Linked DNA regions of Rattus norvegicus. The protein of the gene in region 1 purifies or fractionates together with the protein of each later gene. This does not show direct contact. Links are inferred from orthologs where the notes say so. Each region holds a gene or a part of one and is shown on either strand. Other genes may lie near its edges. The genes, in order: Atf2 and Atf1.

Region 1 (3,819 bases):
TGAAACATTATACATACACTGATGTACATGTAGACCATGAAAACTATTCTTTGCCAAACCTAATTAAAATATCAATCACTATTATTTACATTATCAGATACTCATGCTAAATGAATTAAATATATCTTTTTATTGTTCTTAAAACTTTTTAAAAGTTTTTTGAAATTATAATTTACATACGTATCTCTCCCCCTTTACTCCCTCCAAACTCAGAATATACTCCTTCCACTCTCCTTCAAATTCATGACCTTGTTTTTTGTTTCAACAAATTATTACTTCATACACACACACACACACACACACACACACACACACACACACATACTAAATATAACCTGTTGAGTCTATATAATGCTGTGTGCATGCTTTGAGACTGACTTTTTTGACACTAGACAACCAACTGGTATATTCTTCCCTGGGGGGCACCACCTGTCCCATTCCCAGTTTACCTCAGGTACCTGTAGTTCTCAGTGTGCGGTTGCAGCACTGTGGTCTCTCCAGTGTCCAGTTTGGCATGTTCATTGGTGTCATTCTTGTTCAGTCACATTTGGATAAAATCATGTTGTTGAGACTTTATGAATGAGAGAAGGGATTAGTAGGGTACAGGTGATCTGTCTGATCAGGGAAATAGAAAAGGGAGGGGCTCCTCAAGGAGAGGCAGAGAGGTTAATACAGAAGAAGGGGTGGAGACAAGTGGTCTGATAGGGGAAGTGGAAAGGTCAGTACAAAAAAGAGAGAAGTGGGGTTGGGGATTTAGCTCAGTGGTAGAGCGCTTGCCTGGCAAGCACAAGGCCCTGGGTTCGGTCCTCAGCTCCGAAAAAAAAACAAACAAACAAACAAACAAAAACAAAAAAAAGAGAGAAATGGGTAAAATAACATGGATGTCTGAAAAAGCCACAAGGAATCATACTATTATGATTCAAAATACAACTTAAAAACTATAATATTCCATGTATGAATATACATAAAACTTTTTTCATCTGAATGGAAAAAGCCACCAGGAGTCATACTACTATTTTCAAAGTATAATTTGAAAATTTGTAATAATCCATGTATGAATATACATACACTTTTAATGACCCTTTCTCATCTGGGCAGATGAAGATTTCTTCCAAGAACCAAAGACCACCTAACAAAGCCTCCAATACCAGACATGTGATACTCTTTTTAGTTGTTGTCCAAGAGACTCACAAAACATAGTCTATTACTGTTGCCCTTGATAACCCCCAGAGGTAGAAGGTAAGTTTATATTGCTAAGTTACCATGCACTCTGGAAGTAGGGCTTAGGGGCTAGAGAGATGGATGAGTGGTTAAGAACACTGACTACTCTTACAGAGTAGTTCAGTTCCTGAGTTCAATTCCCAGCAACCATATAGTGGCTCACAACCATCTGTAATGGGATCTGATGCCCTCTTCTGGTGTGTTGGAAGACAGCTACAGAGTACATATAAAGATAGATAGATAGATAGATAGATAGATAGATAGATAGATAGATAGATAGATAGATAGATAGATAGGAACAAAAAGAAGAAGAAGAAGTAGGTCCCAGAGATCCCTCAGCTTGGACTGACCAAATGTCCCTTCCAGGAAGACTTGCTTTCCTATCAGAAGTTGCCATGCATCTTTCCAAAGGAGGGAGGTAACCAACAATCTTACCCAGCTGTGATACCTATGAAGCATAGCATGACACAATAACCCTGATGATGCAGTAGTGGCATGCATACTTTGGTAGTAACCAACAGCTCTCTCATTGGACTTAAGACTTAATACCCACTCAGACCAAGAGGTGCTGGAAACCTAGCTTGGAGCTAGTGAAGTCATGGTTGTTGGAAAGGAATCTACAACCACCTTTTTTTTTTTTAATGTGGTTTGTTGTTGTGCCTGAATTGAATATACTATGTGAGAGTGTTAGATCACTCTGGACTTGGGGTTATAGACAGTTGTGAGCTGCTATGGGGTTGCTGAGAATAGAGCCCTTGTCCTCTGAAAGAACAGCCAGTGCTCTTAACTACCAAGCCATCTCTCCAGCCCTTATCATCTATTCAGAAGTACAGTAGTCTAAGGATACTTTAACCTTTTACTGTTTAGGGATATGCTATCATAGTTCTGTGCTTTACTACAGTGTAGTTAGTATTGTTGGGCTGTAGAAAACTATTTGCACACACTTGATTTCTAGATTGCTTGACGTTTGCTCATGTTTTTGTTTTTAGGAGAGCCTAAAGACTAATCTGCTAGAAATATTTCACATTCGGCATTCTGGTTTAAGAGATAGAGGTTAGGTTTGGTGATGCACACTGAAATAATCCCAGCACTTGGGCCTAGGGCAGGAGGATTGCTACAGTTTAGAGGCAACCCTGGGACACACTGATACCCTGTCTCAGAAAGTGAGATGTTAGTGGCGTATGTGCTTGCAATTTTATGTATACCAGTTTATTAAATATTCTCATTTATTAATATGGGGTTGATGGATGAAACCTAGATTAGTTATAGTTAATGTAAATCTAAATGAGAAAAAAATATAGTAAATTTTTTAATGTTAGTAATTTATTAAGTCCATATTATTTATTAACTCATGAGTGTTGGTGATCACTAATTTCTAATTAATTTCTAATTAGGTTTATTCAATTTGAAATTTTGGTGTGGAACTTTGTAAATTAATGCATCCTAAACAAAGGCTAAAATAGTCATTCTGTTGTAAGGAATAAAACAGGGCACCACTGGTATAACATTTAAATTTAGATGCATATATCACAGGCAACAAATGCATTTAACAATGCATGCTCTTTCATTGGTTCTGGTGCCTGGCATAGTGCTCAACAGTAGTACGTATAAAGATCCATAATTCCTGAATAAGTGTAATTTCTTTTTTCTAAAGTATAAACTTGCATAATTACATTTCCAGGATGAATTTTTTCATTTTTAAAAGGTGAATGGAATCAATGAAAATTCATTCTGATTGCTGATGTTTATAAGTTTTCAAATAATCAAAAGAACATATAATACATGTAGAGTGAAGCCCTTCAGTGAGTAATATAGTGCATATGCTTCCCATGGCAAACAGCCAGGCTACCCACTTATGGCGTTCGTGTGATTTTAGTTTTTTAAAAACTTATGTAAATGCTAAAACATAAACCATTGTATACTGATTAAATTTATTTAAACAGCATATGTCCCTTATTGTTCTGCCAAAGAGATCCAGTTCTCATACCTTACACCTTGCTTTCTTTAAATATGTTTCTGTCTAATGCTGGTAAGGCATATGAGTTGTTTCTTCTCCAGAGCGAAGTCACCCTGCTGAGAAATGAAGTGGCACAGCTGAAACAGCTTCTTCTGGCTCATAAAGATTGCCCTGTAACCGCCATGCAGAAGAAGTCTGGCTATCATAGTGAGTAATGTTCCATTACCTACAGCTGTAGGCTACATCAGTGACAGACGGCCAGAGTGAGGAGCAGAGCGACCAGAAAAACAGTGCAAGCTGCAGTTCTAGTACTTAAGATTAAGTATCAGAATTTCTGCAGGGTTATTATAGTCTGGGATAGGAAGAAAAGTTTTCCTACTTCTACCTTTTTCCCCTAGGTTAGCTAAACATTTTTAAGTACACTGTTTGCTGTCAGTGATTATTTACCATCACAGGATAACACTTTGTCTTGGATTAACAGAGCCAAACAGTTTTTCTTTTCCCGCCCCCATTTAGTACTAATGAGAATTTTTTAAATCAACTATCTTCATCCAACCATATACTATCTATTTCTAGTTTCATATCTTACTCCTTTTTAGATAATGTCAGCATTGGACAGTATTTGTGTGATTACGAGTTTT
Region 2 (3,919 bases), on another chromosome or scaffold:
GGGTCTTAGTGCCCTTCCTAGAAATCGGTGTTGAGCGGTGGTAAGTTTGGGGACAGGGGACCCGAACCCACCCCCCCACACACACACACACTCTAGTGGTCACAGGTAATCTCAGATGCTCAAATGTGCCTGGCTGCTTCTCACACGAAGCTCTCATTCATGCTACAGTCGTCCTCCTTGTGAGGCTCACTTCTCATCTATTCTTCCAGGTAAACCTACCTGATGGCCTCTAGACTGGCCGTATACCCTCGTACATTTTCCCTTTTTAAGGCACCTAACTACAGTAATGTCTTGTTTTTCTGTCTCCCCACCAGAATGTAAGGTCCAGGAAGCCAATCAGCACATCCCTTCCCTACAGGGTACCAATTAACAAACAGTTAAAACTGAGACTAAAACCACCACGTGCTTCCTTACGTGTCCAACTAAAACTGATAACTTCAGCTGAGGCGGTAGGTAACCTCAGAGATCCGCCCCAGCTGTACTCACGGGGAGCCATCTAAGGCACAGGAGTCACAGCTGGAGTTCAGTGAGACCATGCCAGCTTCTGTGTTTGACTTGACTACCATCTACTGGTGATGCATACCACCCAAGTCCTATCAAAGCAAATGATGAGGGAGAACTAACTATTTAGAAGCTGCCACATTTAACTTTAGGGCACCCAGAGCTTCCTGTCTTGTTTCCAAGTACTGAGTATGAGGTGTGCTAGGCAAACACTCTCCTGCTTAGCTACACTCTACTGGAGATAAGACTGTAATTGTATACTGTAAAGGGGGGGAGGAGATGACTGCCATTTCAAAATATGTATTGGCATAAATCTTTAGCATAAATGCATTTTGTGAACATAAATGCTAGACAAACTGGGGTTGGGGATTTAGCTCAGTGGTAGAGCACTTGCCTAGCAAGCGCAAGGCCCTGGGTTCGGTCCCCAGCTCCGAAAAAAAAAAAAATACTAGACAAACTGTTATCACAGATGAGGCCATTTTTACTTCTATACTGAAATGGCCTCAGACCTCAAAAGGCCCTTGAAGACTTGTGGCCCAAAGCATTTCACGGCGGGACTGCTGGAAGTTCTAAGCAAAACTGAGCTACACCGAGTAAGTGGCCCAAACGAGTAAAAACCTCAAAAGCTAAGGTTGGGCTGGAGAGAATGGCTCAGCGATTAGGAACCCTCACTGCTCTTCCACAGAACATAGGGGCCAGTTCCTGGCACTCCCAACAACCGCTAACTCCAGTTCCAGAAGATCAGACACCCTCTGGCGTCTTCAGGCACCTACAGGCACGTGGTGCACATAAACTTAAGCAGACACACATACCCGTCAATAAAAACAATGAGGTCTCACGGTTGAACTGGCAGGCTTGTAACTCGCTCTGTAGATCTCAGAGACAGCTCGACCCGCTTCTGCCTCCCGAAGAGCTGGTATTAAAGGTATGTGCTACCATACCCAGCGGTAAATAAATCGCTAGAAAAACTAACATAAGCCGTGTTCGAGGCCACCCTGCACTACATAAAAAAAAAAAATTAAAGGCCAGTTGGGTAGGCAAAACTGAAAAGGCTACCATAAACTGGGCACGGCGACCACGTCTAGAAGTCGTAGGAATAAATCCCTTCTCAAAAGGAAAAGGCGGCTACCGAGACTTTTGAGTTAAGTTTCTACCACAACCTAGGCGGCCAGCTGCGAGACTCCCGGAAGGAGAGAGGACCATCGTGCCCCACCACCCGGGCGTGTTGCCTCGGTTCCCCAGTCATGGAGGCGGGAGCCCGAGGCCGCGGCGCCTGCAGCCTGCTGGAGGCCGCCGCCCGGCTCTTCCCGCCTCCATGCCGCGCGGGCCGAAGGAGCGCAGCGGGACGCGTGGCTCCGCTTACAGGACGCCCCGGGCGAGCGGAGCCCAACGCCCGGGCGCACGAAGGCGCGCGGCCGGAAGCGCGCGGCCGGTCCCACCCCCCGGCGCCCCTCCCCCACCGCCGCGCCGCGCGCGACCCCCGGCCGGCGCGTGGCCGCCATTGCGTCCCCACCAGCGTCACGTTCCCGCCCGGGCCGCCCCGCGCCCCGCCGCGTCCCGCTCACCCGCGAAGCCTCCTGGCCGCTGCCCGGGGCGGGAAGCTCCACTCCCCCGTCCCAGGCGGCGCCGACCTCACTCCTCACTTGCCAGCCGCGCACCGCGGCGGGGTGGCGCCGGTCCCTGCGGTCGGCGGGGCGCGGAAAAAGAACGTCGTAACTTAAGAGCCAACCGTCCCGGCTACCGTTTCCCGGCCGCGAGGGGCGTCGCTGGCGGCATGATCCGCACAGGCCGGGGGCTGGGGAGGGGGGCCGAGGAGTGCGCGGGAGCGTGGGGAGGGCGGGGCCTGCGCGGGCCGGCGTGCTGCGTCACCGCGTGCTCACGTGGGCGCCGCCATCTTGGCGAGCCCCGGAGCGCGCGGGCGGGCGCGGGGTGCTGCAGGAGTTGCGAGAGTCTCGTGAGAGGACTCCTGGGGCTCGCTACCTGCTCTGTTTATCTATAAAACCTTATGCTGCCATCTTAATGCTTTGGAAAAGACTTAGCTTGCCCTTCTGGGGAAGTTGACCTTCATCCTGAAGGCTTTATCTGGTCCTTTGCAGTGTTCTGCTAGGGCATCGCAGCGTTTTTGTTTCTGTTTCAAGCATACTCTCTACAAAGTGCATACCAAAAGTTTTCCGAAGTTGTATTTGACATCTCCCCTCCTAATAACTGGGCGAGTGAAAACTTTGGGTTTGACCCTTTAGAACACATGATGTGATTTTAAACTGAAGCGTTAGAAGGACTTACTAGAATCCATGCACTGTGATTCAGCAAATCTTGCCCAATAAAGCTAAAACTGATGACTACCCATAAATTAGAAGTACTCGGTTTTTGATCGATTAGGTTAATTACCCAACCTCTCGAGTCAGTATCAAATTTATGGAAATTGCCAGGCACGGTCATCCGTTCCTCTAACCCTTGCACTCTGTGTTGGCAGACACAGGACTGTCTCTTCATAGGAAGTTCTAGGCAAAGCAACACAAAGAAAGCCTCTCAAAAAACTGGAAATTACAGCAACCACATGGTGGCTTGCAATCATCTATAAATAAAATAAATCTTTTAAAAAGATGTTCCCAATTGGGTTAAATTTATATATAATAAATTAATAAATCTCTAAAAAAAACCTGGAAATTACAATACTAAGTCAATGTCTCAACATTATAGAAAGTGGCCTATAACAGCCTTTCCTGAACAACAAAGTCCAGCAGCAGTCATTCCGTAACCCATAGTACTTTTAAAAAATTTATTTTGAGTTTATATTCCTCCCTCCAAACCCTTCTATACATTCATCCTTCCTTTCAAGAGTTAGCTTTTTAGGGGTTGGGGATTTAGCTCAGCGGTAGAGTGCTTGCCTAGCAAGCGCAAGGCCCTGGGTTAGGTCCCCAGCTCCCAAAAAAAAAAAAAAAAAAAAAAAAAAAAGTTTGCTTTTAAATATATTATTTGAAAGATAGAGGGGGGATGGTACATGCACAGGTTTCCCTGGAGTTGGAATTAGAAATGGTGGTTGTCAGGTCCCCAAGAAGCCCAGGACAAATGGCCAACTGTGGTCTCTATTAGCATGCCAAAGCACACACTGACAGCCAGGCTCACAATCTGCTCTTCTCATGCGCACACCAACCCCCTACCCTAAATCCCAGGCCGAGGAGCTTCAATTCCCTTCCCCCAGCTTCTGATTCTTATGAAAACCTGCCAGTTTGACCAGCTCTCTTTGGCTCTCTGCCTCTTCTCTTCCCTACTCTCTTCCTCTCTCGCTGCTTGCTCTGCCCCCTGTCACGGCTCAGGTCAGTCTGTTATTTTGTCTCCCTGCTCTGAACTCTTCCCATTCTTCTGGCCTCACACATGCACTCAAAGCCTTCTCAACCGAACCTCAGAACTGTTGTGT

Evidence for each region.
Region 2: the proteins of Atf2 (region 1) and Atf1 purify together in Homo sapiens (affinity purification with mass spectrometry; 3 studies listed by BioGRID and IntAct, with this or other methods). This does not show direct contact. The link is inferred for Rattus norvegicus from reciprocal best matches to the Homo sapiens genes ATF2 and ATF1.

The regions. Positions count from the first base shown.
Region 1 is NC_086021.1:79,133,072-79,136,890, reverse strand, and holds part of Atf2 (cyclic AMP-dependent transcription factor ATF-2), read left to right. Parts: intron 1-3,279; coding exon 3,280-3,385; intron 3,386-3,819. UniProt on the Homo sapiens protein: Transcriptional activator which regulates the transcription of various genes, including those involved in anti-apoptosis, cell growth, and DNA damage response.
Region 2 is NC_086025.1:133,239,181-133,243,099, reverse strand, and holds the start of Atf1 (cyclic AMP-dependent transcription factor ATF-1), read right to left. Parts: upstream 2,327-3,919; 5' UTR 2,067-2,326; intron 1-2,066.